2 linked regions of the Anolis sagrei genome follow. The protein of the gene in region 1 purifies or fractionates together with the protein of each later gene. This does not show direct contact. Links are inferred from orthologs where the notes say so. Each region holds a gene or a part of one and is shown in the gene's direction. Other genes may lie near its edges. The genes, in order: RPL13A and RPL7L1.

Region 1 (7,909 bases):
CTGCTCCATCCCAAAAACTGAACTTTCCTAGCGGCACAGGTCTACGATATGAGGCAGAGCATGTCAGGCAATGTATTCTGAAAGGTAAGAGCCCAAACTGTAACCATGGGTGCATCTACACTGTAGAATTAATGTGGTTTGATATTCAATTGCCATGGCTCAATATTATGGAATTAAGGGATTTGTAGTCTGCTGATGCACCAATGCTCTTTGGTAAAGAAGGCTAAAAGGTTGAGAAAGATGGTATATAAATATGGTTAATAATAATAATAATAATAAGAAGAAGAAGAAGAAGAAGAAGAAGAATCTTGTAAAACTTCAACATAGCATTGAGTCATGGCAGTTAAAATGTTTTTAAACTGTATTATTTCTACAGTATTTATCAGGTATGCAAACTTCAGCCTTCCAGGTGTTTTGGACTTCAACTTCCACAATACCTAACAGTCTACCGGGATTTGCAGTTTGGTGAGGCACCAGCAGTCATTGGCAGGGAAGGCTGGTTCTCAACCTGGGGTACCCAGATGTTTTTGGCCTTCAACTCCCAGAAATCCTAACAGCTTGTAAACTGGCTAGGATTTCTGGGAGTTGTAGGCCAAAAACATCTGGGGAACCACTGGAAGACTATAAAACTACAACTCCCATGATGCTATAGCAGTTAAAGCTGTATCAAACTGTTTTTATTCTTCAGTGTATGTAGATTCATCCCAATTGTGTTGTGCAGATGGATGTAGAAAAAGCAGACAGCTTGACCTTTTCTTGTTTCTTTCTTTTACTTTTCTTAGGCTTGAAGGAGAGCCCTGTCATGTCTCACGCAGACAGTGAACTTATTCATTCCATCTTGGATGAAGCCCGCAGGCAGCTGGGAGTATCCTATCCTCAGGACCATGCCTGACCCATACTGTAGTTTGCTCTCTATGTATATGATAAAAGAAACATTACTATGTTATCCCTAGATAATTCCCAATACTGTGAACATAAGGGTCAACCAGTCAAGTTGCAAGAGTTGGTTACACAGTTTGGAATTTGCAGATAAGTTCCAAGAAGCTTGCTGTTTGTTATACAGGGTTAGTCAAAATGCATAGGCCAATAAGCCATTCAATTGAATGGCTTATTGGCCTATGCATTTTGACTAACCCTGTATATTGTATTTCTTCAATTCTAAGCCACAATCCACCATATAGACATCCCAAAAGCAGGGTGTGACTTACATTAAAAGTGAGATAGATAGAAAGCTTTTTTTCCTATTAGTGGTACTGAAATTAGTATCGTTTTACAATTGATGGCAATTCAGAATTGAAGAAATATAGAAATTTCCACTGTCAGACAGCAAACTGTAAAATAAAGCTAATGTTGCCTTCCTCTCACAATTTGTTGTGTTTTTATGGAGTGTTTTACACCTTTTTCTCACACTTGTGTTTGAACCGGAGACTTTTATGATTGAGTGACTGAATATTAAAGACAATTGGGTGTTCCGACACTAGGTGTATGCAGTGGTTCTTAACTTGTGGGTTCCCAGATGCTTTGGCCTTCAACGCCATGAAATCCTAACAGCTGGTAAACTGGTTGGGATTTCTGGGAGTTGTAGGTCAAAACATCTGGGAACCCAATGAAGGATCACCGATGTAGGGTCACTCCAAATGCACAAGTTTAGGAGTCCCCTCAACGGCCCAATGTAGCCAGGCGAGGAGGAAGCCATAAGTTAGATTCTTTCTACAAAGGCTTTATTGCGTGGCCATAGCAATAACGACAAACGTGCATACAGGAATGCAACCAAAGGTTTTGTCACAACCTCCAACGGGACTGCCGAGTTTTTGTCATTTTTGGCAGTAAATTGAATACACATTCTCATTGTTTTCCAAAGACAAATCATTTCATTGGTCTAAGCTAGCTCATTGGTTCTTTATGATTTTGACTGACATGATAGCACACGTGGGACCTTAAAAAGTCTGTCGTCCCTTCAATGGTGTAGCAAAGTTATTATCACTTTAACAGAAAATTAAAAGCACATTCTCACTGGTGTACAAAGATCAATTATTCCATTGGTCTAAGCTGGCTAATACAGATTTTCATTAGCCCTCTATCTCAAAAAAGCAGTACAATAGCACAATTATGCTTTCATGCCTCTGACCCTGACTGTCTATCTTATCTACTTTTCTGTTTCAAACATAGACTTCAAGCACTGAGAGAAATTAGGGAGTGTTAGCTAACACCAGCACTGCTCCAGTGAATTCATCCTTGAGCATAATTCACCTCCCTATGGCAGTTCTCTCACTTTTACAGACAAAGGCCTCTATGAATCAGGACATATGGGACTTACAATCATTGGAGGCATTTATGAAAATTCTATTTAAAACTACGCCTCCCTCACTGGGATTTGTAGTTTGGTGAGGCACCAGCAGTCATTCGCAAGGAAGGCTAAAGACCTTGTAAAACTACAACTCCCATTGCGCTATACCAGGGATTCTCAAACTTTTTAAACAGAGGGCCGGTCACTGTCCCTCAAACTGTTGGAGGGCCAGATTATAATTTGAAAAAAGCATGACTGAATTCCTACGCACACTGCACATATCGTATTTGTAGTGCAAAAAATGCTTTAAAACAATTCAATAACTAAAATGAAAAACAATTTTAACAAATATAAACTTACTAGTGTTTCAGTGGGAAGTGTGGGCCTGATTTTGGCAGATGAGATTGTTGTTGTTGTTGTTGTGTGCTTTCAAGTCCTTTCAGACTTAGGTTGACCCTGAGGGAGGGCCGGGTAAATGACCTTGGAAGGCCTTATCCAGCCCACGGGCCTTAGTTTGATGACCCCTGTCCTATACCATAGCAGTTAGTTTATTTATGACATTTATATGCTTTCCTTCTCACCAAAGGGACTCAGAGTGGCTTACAAGATATATATACATACAATATATTATATTATTAGCATAGTACAATATCAGTATTAAATATATGGAGCCTCTGGTGTCGCAGTGGGTTAAACCCCCCCCCCCCTTTTTTTGTCATGTTAGGAGTGACTTGAGAAACTGCAAGTCGCTGGTGTGAGAGAATTGGCCGTCTGCAAGGACGTTTCCCAGGGGATGCCCGGATGATTTGATGTTTTTATCATCCTTGTGGGAGGCTTCTCTCATGTCCCCGCATGAGGAGCTGGAGCTGATAGAGGGAGCTTACCCGCCTCTCCTTGGATTTGAACCTGCAACCTGTCAGTCTTCAGTCTTGCCGGCACAGGGGTTTAACCCACTGCGCCACCGACAGGTCTCAGGTTCGAATCTGGGGAGAGTGCAGATGAGCTCCCTCTCTTAGCTCTAGCTTCTCATGAGGGGACATGAGAGAAGCCTCCCACAAGGATGGTAAAACATCAAAAACATCCGGACGTCCCCTGGGCAATGTCCTTGCAGATGGCCAATCCTCTCACACCAGAAGTGACTTTCAGTTTCTCAGGTCGCTCCTGACATGACAAAAAAAAAAAGCATAGTACAATATCAGTATTAAATATTACTATGATGGCACAACCGGGAAGATTAAGGGAAAACTATATGTGTCTGGCTATTTTCCCAGTGACCATCGGTATGCCCTATATGTATTTTAATTCCCCCAAAATAAAACTCTAGAGACAAGACTAAAATTAACCAATTAAGTTTACTGAATAATCAGGGTGAATAAAAACAAGGTATAAAGGTGCAGTTTGATTCTTGATGGTAAAGACAACAGGAGACTATGAAGTATAATGATGCTCTGAGATAACAACTATATTCTCTATGACAAATACAGATGAATTCTTTATAACATATACTATAGACTCTAAGGCAAATACTATAATCTTTGAGGCATGTATTATCTAATCTATATGGCAAATACGTGCTAAGGATGGCCTGTTCAGACTGCTAAGCCAGACCAGACAACAAGCCAAATATATTGTTCTATGCCATTATATTGTAATATTATTAATATTACATGTAATATAAATATATAATTATAATATCATATTTTATTAGTATTATATTGCATTACATTATTATATTATAAATATAATATGTATATACAATATTATTATTTAGTAAAATTATATACAGTTAAAGCTGTTTTTATTCTATAGTGTAGAATAGATGAAGGCAAGCTTCGTCCTTCCAGGTGTCCGACCGGCTGCTAGGAATTTTGAGGGCTGAAGTTCAAAATACCTGGAGGGTTGAAATTGGCCCATGCCTGGTCTACACTGCCAATATAATGCGGTTGCAAACTGCACGTGTTGATAGGGATATAGCTTATTTATTTATTTGTCGTGTCAGGACAACCAGTCAAATTATATTACATTTCTAACAGAACAAAGCAAACAAACAAACAGACAAAATACAAAATGTGTGAGTTTGGTAGTTGATTAAATGTCCTTTGACCAGTATCTGGCCACTTGATATTGTCCAGGGATATAGCTAAAGCAGTAGTTTGGTCCTGGAAGCTTTTGGACTTCAGCTCCCATAATTCTAAGCAGTTGAGTCAGTCAGCTAGTGCTTCTGGGAGTTGAAGTCCTCAAGGTTGGGCAGTTCTGTCTAGTAGCTAGGCCTCAACCCTGGCTGTTAAGGAGAAGGAAAACTTTAGGGGACGCCCTTGGTGACGTCATTTCCGCACCTGCGCATTTCGAGTCCCGCCCTGAAGCGGCAGAGAGGGTAACCCCGTAGCCGGCGGTGGGCGGAGCCTCTTTCCCGTGCGGCCGCCGAGGAGCAGCCATGACGGAGCCGAAGGTGCGGAGCTTCTCTAAGGCCTCGGTGGCTTTTTTTCCTTGGGTCGGCGGGAGGAGGGCGGCGAAAGAAGGCCGAGGGGCTCGCTTGATGCCTCCTGAGGCCTTGGTGGCGGGGAAAGGGGAGAAAAAAAAGGCCAATTCCCCATTTGTGAGGCCTCAGCCAGGACTAGGCCTCAGGCGCGAGAGTGCAAGAAGAGTGTCCCATAGAAATGTGCACACCTTATAACAGCTCACAGTCGCTCTGGTGAATATTTTAAGGCCTAAGCAATCCCAACTGTATTGAAGAACGAATCTTACAGTAATTATTTCATCAGATGTACAAGTTCCATCTTAAATTAGGATTTTAGTCCATTTCTTTATATATATATTCCAAATAATTTGGATTAAACATTTACTAGGAAAGTGGGAAATGGGACAAGGGAAGGAAAAGGAAAAAAATGTGAATAATAATTAGTTATTGGTTAGTACCATCCTTAAAAATGTCTAATATATAACCATATATATATATTCCAAATAATTTTGATTAAACATTTACTAGGAAAGTGGGAAATGGGACAAGGGAAGGAAAAGGAAAAATGTGTGAATAATGATTAGTTATTGGTTAGTAGCATCTTTACAAATGTCTAATATATAACCATATATATATATTCCAAATAATTTTGATTAAACATTTACTAGGAAAGTGGGAAATGGGACAAGGGAAGGAAAAGGAAAAAAATGTGAATAATAATTAGTTATTGGTTAGTAGCATCCTTTAAAATGTCTAATATAATGGTTCTTTACCTTCCTAATGCTGTGACCCCTTAATACAGTTCCTCATGTTGTGGTGACCCCCCAACCTTAAAGTTATTTTCATTGCTACTTCACAACTGTAATTTTGCAACTGTTATGAATTGTAATGTAAATATCTGATATGCAGGATGTATTTTCATTTGCTGCACCAAATTTGGCACAAAGACCCGATACACCCAAATTAGAAAACTGGTGGGATTGGAGGGGATTGATTCCATCATTTGGGAGTTGTAGTTGTTGGGATTTATACTTCATCTGCAAACAAAAAGCATTCTGAACTCCACCAATGATAGAATTGAACCAAACATGGCACAGAACTCCCATGACCAACAGAAAATACTGGAAAGGTTTGGTGGGCATTGACCTTGAGTTTTGGAGTTGTAGTTCATCTATGTCCCTAGAGCACTGTGGAATCAAAACAATGATGGATCTGGACCAAACTTGGCATGAAAATCAGTATGTCCAAATGTGGACTCTGGTGGAGTTTAGGGAAAATAGACTTGATATTTGGGAGTTGTAGTTGATGGGATTTATAGTTCACCTACAATCAAAGAGCATTCTGAACCCCACCAAGGTTAGAATTGGGCCAAACTTCCCACACAGAACTCCCCATGACCAACAGAAAATAGTGTTTTCTGGTGGTCTGGCGACTCCTCTGACACCCCCTCACGACCCCTCCAGGGGTCCCAACCCCCAGGTTGAGAAACACTGGTCTAATATATGGTGAGGTGAAAACACAAGGTGAGAGTAGTTGAGGTATGGGGAAAAAAATCATCATTGTTGCCGTTAAGGCTTCATTTCTATTTCTTTAACACATATTTGGTAAAATATTGAGGATTCTAACCATGTTAATTTTAAGTTCCATTGATCGTATCTCCTGTCTTCTCACATTGTCTCCTGGTCTTCATATATTCTTTTCCAGTTTTCCTTCAGTGAAAGTTTATCTTAATTTTTCATAATGGTTTATTTATTTATTTACTGCATCTTTACTCTGCTTCATCTCAACCCTGAAGGGGACTCAGAGCAGCTTCCAGATTGGCAATATTCAATGCCACATGAAACATAAAACATACAAATACAAATTGCAATATACATTAAAATTTCTATTTCTTTAACACATATTTGATAAAATATTGAGGATTCTAACCATGTTAATTTTAAGCTCCATTGATCGTATCTTCGGTCTTCTCACATTGTCTCCTGGTCTTCATATATTCTTTTCCAGTTTTTCTTCAATGAAAGTTTATCTTAATTTTTCATAATGGGTTATTTATTTATTTACTGCATCTTTACCCTGCTCCATCTCAACCCTGAACAAGACTCAGAGTGGCTTCCAGATTGGCAATATTCAATGCCACATGAAACATAAAACATTCAAATACAAATTGCAATATACATTAAAATCATAAAAAGTCATAAAAACAATGGCATATAAATACATTACATATACTGTTAAACATTGCACATAGACCTGAATTCTTAGTCCAAGAACCATTCCAAATTGCATTACATTCCATTCACTTCATAGCTGCATGTTGACCCTACTTCCCAAATGCTTTCACATTAAACCTTTTCTTAAAACATTTGTTGTCAATATCTACAAAATTGTACAGTTGCTAGTAGATTAGTGTTTATATCATTTTAGCAGTATCATGCTGTCTCAGTATTTCGTCCAATATATTTTCCATCTACAACTCTTGAATTTAAAAACTTCTGATTTAACCATAATCACTCGACAAAGCAAGTAGATAGGACATAGGTATACACTATAGGACCCACAATATGAACAGCTGAACTTTATTTATGTATATATATAGGGGGGGGGGTTGATATAAAAGAAGGCTAGGAACAAAATCTTGAGAAAGAAGTTTGAGAGATCTGGCCTCCAGGAGCTATCAGGAAAGTTCTTAAAAATAAATATTAAGAACTGTCCCTGAAGGCTAGATCTCTCCATCTTCTCCTTCTCAAGGTTTTGTTCCCACTAGCCTGTCTAGCCTACATTTATACTAATCTGTCTCTTTATGTATACATAAATAAAATTCAGCTGTTCATATTGTTGGCCCTGTAGTGTATACCAAATACTTGCTTTGTTGAAGCGCAGACTTACACATTTCAGTTTTTTAAAATTTCATGATACATCTCTGCTGTTGGAAGTTTCAGTTCTGTTAAAAGTGCATACATTTTTGGGTCAAAGACAAATTATAAAATCATTAAAGATTGTACAAAGCGGCTGAAAGCCACAAAGGTGCCTGATGTTTTTACAACTTTTTGAAATTACTTTGGAAATTACTTTGATTTTACTTGTAATTTTATTTTCTGTATACGATGCTCTGTTATTGTAAATTAAAAACAGGTGTGATTAAATATGGAAAGTCCTTTGTG
Region 2 (7,298 bases), on another chromosome or scaffold:
CTAAAAGTAATATATTCAACCTTTTACTTCAACTTTGGGTGAGGGGGGTGAAACAATGTTTCTGTTTTTCTTGACTGTTCTGTCCTTCGATACATTTCTTTTAAATTCAGAAACATATTGGAACTACTTCAACAAAAAGCTGTACTTCCCTTCTTGGTTTGTTTTGGATTGATCTAAACAAAAGAGTATTTTTTCAGACAGAGCTACTGGTTTTTGCTGATTTTGGCTGGTTTTGTGATCTCTGTCCACTTGTTCCATTCTTTTTGAAGGCTTGCAGCAATTTGTTGGATATGTACTAAGGTTCTTCCTAAGGTGTTTTAAGAAGCAAATGCTTGGGTTATGGTTTGCTGTTTTGGTTCTATTGTGCAAATTTTCCCTTCTCTGAATATTCGTGTATGTGTGTGTGTGTGCGCGCGCATATGTGTGTGTATGTGGCGGGGCATCCAGTCAGACCCAAAACATGGGACCTGTTTTGGTCTCCAAGACAACAGGAAACAAGCTTGCCCCCTTCTCAATGTGCCTCCTTTCAAATATCTAAGTTTATCATGTCTCCGCTCAATCATATTTTCTCCAGGTTAAACATACCAAGCCCCCCCAAGTCTTTGATCATTTAGGTCTCCTTTCTCTGGACACATTGCAGCTTGTCAATATCCCTCTTGAATTGTGGTTCCCAGAACAGGACACAGTATTCGAGGTGAGACCAACCAAAGAAGAATAGTGGGATTATGACTTTCCTCGATCTCGACACTATACTCTCATTGATTCAGTAGATCAGATAGTAGATACTACAAATAAACACTGCAAATAGTTTGTGCCTGCTTATGTTCATGAGAAGAAACAGAGAGGGATATGCAAATAGTTTGCTAATTCAACTTTATTTGATCTCTATAGATCCATGAGAAGAATGCCTGGCCAATGTATTGCATGCAAGGAATTGGGGAAAAAACTGACGGTTTCAATTTTTCCCCAAAGAAATACACTCACCCTCAATATTATGTGGTGAATGACAAGTCTAAATCCTTGTTTATTAAAAAGTGTTGAATTTATGGTGTGTTGAGCTTATATAACACTGCAGCTGTGGGAGATCAGTTGCAGCTTCAGAGTATTTTCTGGCAAGAGCAAAAAAGTACTGCCTTTAAGCTATCCAAAGAGTTGCTCTGTCTTAATCCAAAGAAACAAAAAAGTATGACCATTTTTGGAGAAAGAGACAAACGCCAGATGTATGGGATTGATTCTAAGGAAGAAATGCTTCCAACTCTTACCTGGAAATAAACTCAATTGAATATAGTGAGGCCTACTTTTGAGTAAATCACTACCAAATAAGAATGCAGGGCAACAAAAAAGTTACTCATTTATCGAGAGTAAAGATAATTTAACCCTATAGGATTTATTTCCAAGTATAACTGTATAGGATTGCACTGTAAGAACTGATTAATTAGAGGAAAGGTGTTTTTAGGTGTTGTCTATACAGGTGTACTATTTCGTAAACTCTGCCTTGTTATATTTTATATACACAACTGTCTAAAAGCTTTTGATTCATAGATGGGTCATAATATCTATATTTGTATTATATTACGCGACCACTTTCTCTAAGAATAAAGCAATTTTATGGCAAATCTCTTATATCCTTTGAATCAATGGAAACTGGCATTAGTTTTTATTATTTATAGTGTCAAAAGTGAATAGAGGGTACAGTTATAATGTATTTAACAGAACACAAAGAAATACTAGATTTTCTTTGACCAGACACTGGCCACTTGGAGTGCCTCTGATGTCGCTGTAAGGAGGTCCTCCATTGTGTATGTGGCAGGGCTCAGACTGCATTGCAGTAAGTTTTTTTTGTTGTTGTTGTTGTGTCAGGAGCGATTTGAGAAACTGCAAGTCGCTTCTGGTATGAGAGAATTGGCCGTCTGCAAGGACGTTGCCCAGGGGATGCCCAGATGATTTGATGTTTTTATCATCCTTGTGGGAGGCTTCTCTCATGTCCCCGCATGAGGAGCTGGAGTTGAAAGAGGGAGCTCATCTGCCTCTCCCCGGGTTTGAACCTGTGACCTGTCGGTCTTCAGTCCTGCTGGCACAGAGGTTTAACCCATTGCGCCACCGGGGACAGTAAGTGGTCTGTGGATTGCTCTTCTTCACACTTGCATGCCGTGGACCATTTCTTAAGGTTAGCTCTGCATCTCATGGTGCCAGAGTGCAGTCTGTTCAACACCTTCCAAGTTGCCCATCCTTCAGTGCGGCCAAGTGCGGCTGTGGATTGAGGTTCTGAGTTTTAACCTGCCACTTTTGGATTCTCGCTTGCTGAGCTGTGTCTGCGAGTATCTCTGTATATTTTAGAAAGCTATTTCCTGCTTTAAGGCATTGGCATGCTGGCTGATATCTGAACAGGGGATGGGCTGAAGATGTCACTACCTTGGTCCTTTCACTATTCTTGGCAGATATCAGGTGGTGCAATACCGGCTAAACAGTATAATTTCTCCAGTGGTGTAGGGCACCCTGTGATAATGTGGCATGTCTCATTAAGAGCCACATCCACTGTTTTAATGTGGTGAGATGTGTTCCACACTGAGCATGCATATTCAGCAGCATAGTAACAAAGCATAAGGTTAGATGTATTCACTCTATCTGGTTGTGATCCCCAGGTTGTGGGGGAATCTCAAATAAATAAATAAATAAATAAGGTTGAAGTCCCAAAAGTAACTTTTTAGATCTTGCATATATAATAGCAGTAATAAAGGGGTGATTAGTGGATCTAATTGTACTAAAGATAACAGATGTGTTCTGACCTTGTAAATTAAGAAGGTTAGGACTAGCCTAAGAAATTTATTTATTTATTTATTTACTTTATTTGTATACCGCTCTTCTCAGCCCTTAGGCGAAAGTCTTGTAAAGAACATTTTTAAGACTATGTAGTGTTTTAGATATTTTAAAAGAGTTTTAATGGTTAAAAGTACCTATTTTAATAGTTCCATGTTTAATTCTATTTTAGTATTTATATGTTGTAGGTTTGAAATGGTACATTGAATTGTATTTTAGCATTCATGGGGCTGCAAGAGGTGACGTAAATGCTTACACACACTTTAGTATTCTGTTTAAATTCAATGTATTATTTATGATAAGAGTCTTAAGGGTGCAAACTGAAAAATCTCAAATTCAGATCTTTTCACTCAATTGATTTAATGTGCCTAGTTTTAGTCTAATTATAACATTTTTCCATGGCAAAATAATTTCAGTCAGGCATACAACTGCAACTGAAATTGTTTTGCATTCTCAACGACTGGGAACTTAATGTATGAATATATATATATATATTTCACTCCATAAGGTCGGGTTTTAGGTTGGAATAAATAAAATACAATTTGAAAAAATATACATAATTAAAAAATTAGATTAAAAGCATATGAAACAATTTAATTCACAGACATCCTACTATCCGTTATTAAATTAACTTAGGCAAGTTACATGCTGGGTGGAATCTACACTGTAGAATTAATGCAGTTTGACACCACTTTAACTACCACTTTATATCTGAGATTTGCAGTTTATCCTACTCTCCCAAATAGTACTAGTTCCTCACGAAAACTACAACTCCCAGGATTCTATAGCATTGAGCCATGGCATTTTACTTGCAATATTGGGCATGTTTGCTTTTGCTCCTCCTTTTTGAGGCTACACTGTGCAATGAATGCAGTTTCACTCCGCACTTAAAGTGGAGTGAAACTGCATTAATTGCACAGTGTAGCCCCAAAAAGGAGGAGCAAAAGCAAACATGCCCAATATTGCAAGTAAAATGCCATGCTAGATTTATATCATGGTCACCAATAGCTGGGAATGATTTGACAGCACTCAACCACAAAATGATACAAAATGTCATTCAAAGTAATGTGATTTTCAAAGTAACCAGAGTTTAGAAAAAAGGCTGTAAGCTTAAAAGCATTGATAAATCATGATATTATTTTCCCTTAATGAAATAACATGGGTTTGGAAAAGCAGGAAGCCCTTGGTATTGAATAAACACCCCACTGCTTTATCTTAGTTAGAGCTTAGCATTTGATTTTCATAACTTTTGGGGCTTAGTCTCATTTCTAATTGAGAAATGTTGAAAGCAAACCCGAAAGTTTCTCCTCCGTTCGTTCTGTCTTAACTTTCTATGTCTATGCAAGACATAAAGGGGAAGGCGCTCGAGAACCCTACCAATAAGGTTGCAAAACGCATGCAAATTGATGTAAGCATTCTTTTCCCTTCTGCGCATGCTCGGCAGTGTGCGCATGCGTAGTAACCTGGTAAACCCAGGTGGAGAGGAAACATGGCGGCGCTTGAGTGAGTTTCACGGGGAGGAAAGGGGGAGGAAGGGAATCTGCGTCCATCCTCAGGGAAGGAGGGCTTTGGACACATTGAAATAATAGATCTGTGTCTAGAATGGCTTCATCTTTGTTTAATTCGGTTTCATCGGTGTAAACAAGAGTTTTGTTGCTTCTCGGGGCCGCTCTGTTTATATGTGTTGACAATCTGAGAATTTTATAGTTGTATAAAAGAATGTGGAAGAATTGAAAGGGAAATTTGGGGTGTCATATATCTCCTACATTGGGGAGGGAGAACTATATTAATACTAGCCGTCCCCTGTCCTTTAGGGATACCTTTCAAATCTATGATACTATATCTCTCTCTCTGTGTGAATCATATATATCTATATCTGGATGGCTCTCTGTCAGGAGGGCTTTGATTATGTTTCTTTGCCCTGGTGAAGGGAGTTGGACAGGATGGCCTTAAGTATTTTCTGTTGATCATGGGGGTTCTTTGTGGGAAGTTTCATCCAATTCTGTCATTGGTGGGGTTCAGAATGCTTTTTGATTGTAGGTGAACTATAAATCCCAGTAACTACAACTCCCAAATGTCAAGGTCTATTTCACCCAAACTCCATGTGTGTGCATATTTGGGCATATGGAATATTCGTGCCAAGTTTGGTCCAGATCCATCATTGTTTGAGTCCACAGTGCTCTCTGGATGTAGGTGAACTACAACTCCCAAACTCAAGGTCAATGGCCACCAAACTCTTCTAGTGTTTTCTGTTGGTCATGGGAGTCCTGTGTGCCACATGTGATTCAATTCAATCATTGGTGGAGTTCAGAATGCTCTTTGAGTGTAGGTTAACTGTAATTCCCAACAACTACAACTCCCAAATGACAAAATCTTTTTTTTTATTGGCGTGATAGGTGTATTGTGTCCAAATTTGCTGTCAATTCGGCCAGTAGTTTTTGAGTTATGTTAATCCTACAAACGAACATTACATTTTTATTTATATAGCTGTGGAAGAACTGAAAGGGAAATTTAGGGTGTCATATATCTCCTATGTTGGGGGAAAAACTATATTATATTACTTTCCTAGTTCCAACAGACCTCACTACCTCTGAGGATGCTTGCCATAGATGCAGGCGAAACGTCAGGAGAGAATGCCTCTAGATCATGGTCATATAGCCCGAAAAAACATACAACAACACAGTTATTCAGGCCATGAAAGCCTTCGACAATATATTATATTAATATTATATTAATTTATATCCACCTTCGAGACTCAAAGCCCCTCACATCTTAAATATCCCAAACCCCAAATCATTGTATTTAAATACCAATTAACTGTGTTGAACTAGCATCATATGTAAGGAGCAATGTAATAAATTTGTGTTAATTGCTAGTGCTTGGTTTTGAGAGCATTATGCACTTAATCCAGATTTGATCAGACTCTTTAAATCTGGATTATATGGCAGTGTGGACTCATATAATCCAGTTCAAATCAGATAATCTGGGGCTCTTTACACACAGCTGAATAAAATCCCAAACTATCTGGTTTGAACAGGTATATATGGCAGTGTGGACTCAGATATTCCAGTTCAAAGCAGATATTGTGGGTTATTCCGCCTTGGTATTCTGGATTATATGGCTGTGTGGAAGGGCTCTGGATTATCTACTTATCAATCTGGATTATATGTCAGTGCACAAAGGTCTCAAATCCATTGAAATCTATGATTAAGCACAACTGACTCGAGGTCCTGTGGATTTCAGTGTGAGAGTCTGGAGCAGGATGTACACTGCCATATAATACAGTCTGGATCTGCATTATATGGTCAGTGCAGATTCAAATAATGCAGTTCAGTAGGTCCAGCGAGTATATATATCAGTGGTTCCCAACCTTTGGGCTTCCATGGGCCCTTCCACGCAGACCTGTATCCCAGAATATCAAGGCAAAAAATCCCACATTATCTGCTTTGAACTGGGATATCTGAGTCCACACTCAGATAATGTGGGATTTTCTGCCTTGATATTCTGGGATATAAGGTTGTGTGGAAGGGCCCCCAGTGTTTTGAACTTCAGCTGCCACAGTTCCTAACAGCTGGTGAGCTGGCTGGGATTTCTAGGAGTTGAAGTCCAAAACACCTGGAGGCCCAAAGGTTAGGAACCACTACTCTATATAATGGAGACCAGTGGTTCTCAACCTGGGGTCCCAGATGTCTTTGGCCTACAACTCCCAGAAATCCAAGCCAGTTTACCAGCTGTTAGGATTTCTGGGAGTTGAAGGCTAAAAACATCTGGGGACCCCAGGTTGAGAACCAAGGATGTAGATTCAAACTGCTTTATATGCAGTGTGGATATAGACTGCTGTGTCCATATAGTTGAAAATGCTGCTTTAATGTTTGCTCTTTAACAGAAGCATTTTATATAAGCGAACAATCCAGTTAACTTGAGAATTCTTAGATGACTTTAGAAAGCACTTCTGAGACAAGTAAAATTGATTTATATTAATATTATAATCATTGTGTTTATATCCTGCTTTTCCCCTCAGAACCTTGCGTCAGGATGTAAATACAGCATAGGAAATACATGCAATTGACTTTCATTGAAATGTAATTAAGCATGGGAGGGGGTTGGACAGATGCCCTCTTCCAGCTCTCTGCTTCTGCATTAGATATATTATGTTGTAAACCCTTGTCTCTGTATGTTTAGGCCACCCAGGAAGATCCCTTTGGTGCCAGAAAACCTACTGAAGAAAAGGAAGGCCTATCAGGCAATCAAGGCCACCCAGGCAAAGCAGGCCTTGGAGGACAAGAGAAAGGTAGGGGAGATACAATATAAGACCAGAATATACTTTGCTGTACTTATGTTCTATGAAGACTGAAAGCATTAGTTGTTTTAAGGGAAATCATTTCACTATAGCATTGTAAACAATGGGACGCGCATTCATGGATTTTCTGTTCTGGAACCAAATCCCAGCAGATACCAATTGTCCTCTGTAGTAACTTTCC

The links.
Region 2: the proteins of RPL13A (region 1) and RPL7L1 purify together in Homo sapiens (affinity purification with mass spectrometry; 3 studies listed by BioGRID and IntAct, with this or other methods). This does not show direct contact. The link is inferred for Anolis sagrei from reciprocal best matches to the Homo sapiens genes RPL13A and RPL7L1.

The regions. Positions count from the first base shown.
Region 1 is NC_090026.1:21,586,666-21,594,574, reverse strand, and holds the start of RPL13A (large ribosomal subunit protein uL13), read left to right. Parts: upstream 1-4,630; 5' UTR 4,631-4,721; coding exon 4,722-4,736; intron 4,737-7,909. Other genes in the region: trans-1,2-dihydrobenzene-1,2-diol dehydrogenase-like, read left to right, coding at 1-84, 783-892. UniProt on the Homo sapiens protein: Associated with ribosomes but is not required for canonical ribosome function and has extra-ribosomal functions.
Region 2 is NC_090025.1:35,698,554-35,705,851, forward strand, and holds the start of RPL7L1 (ribosomal protein uL30-like), read left to right. Parts: upstream 1-4,232; 5' UTR 4,233-4,306; coding exon 4,307-4,320; intron 4,321-6,999; coding exon 7,000-7,108; intron 7,109-7,298.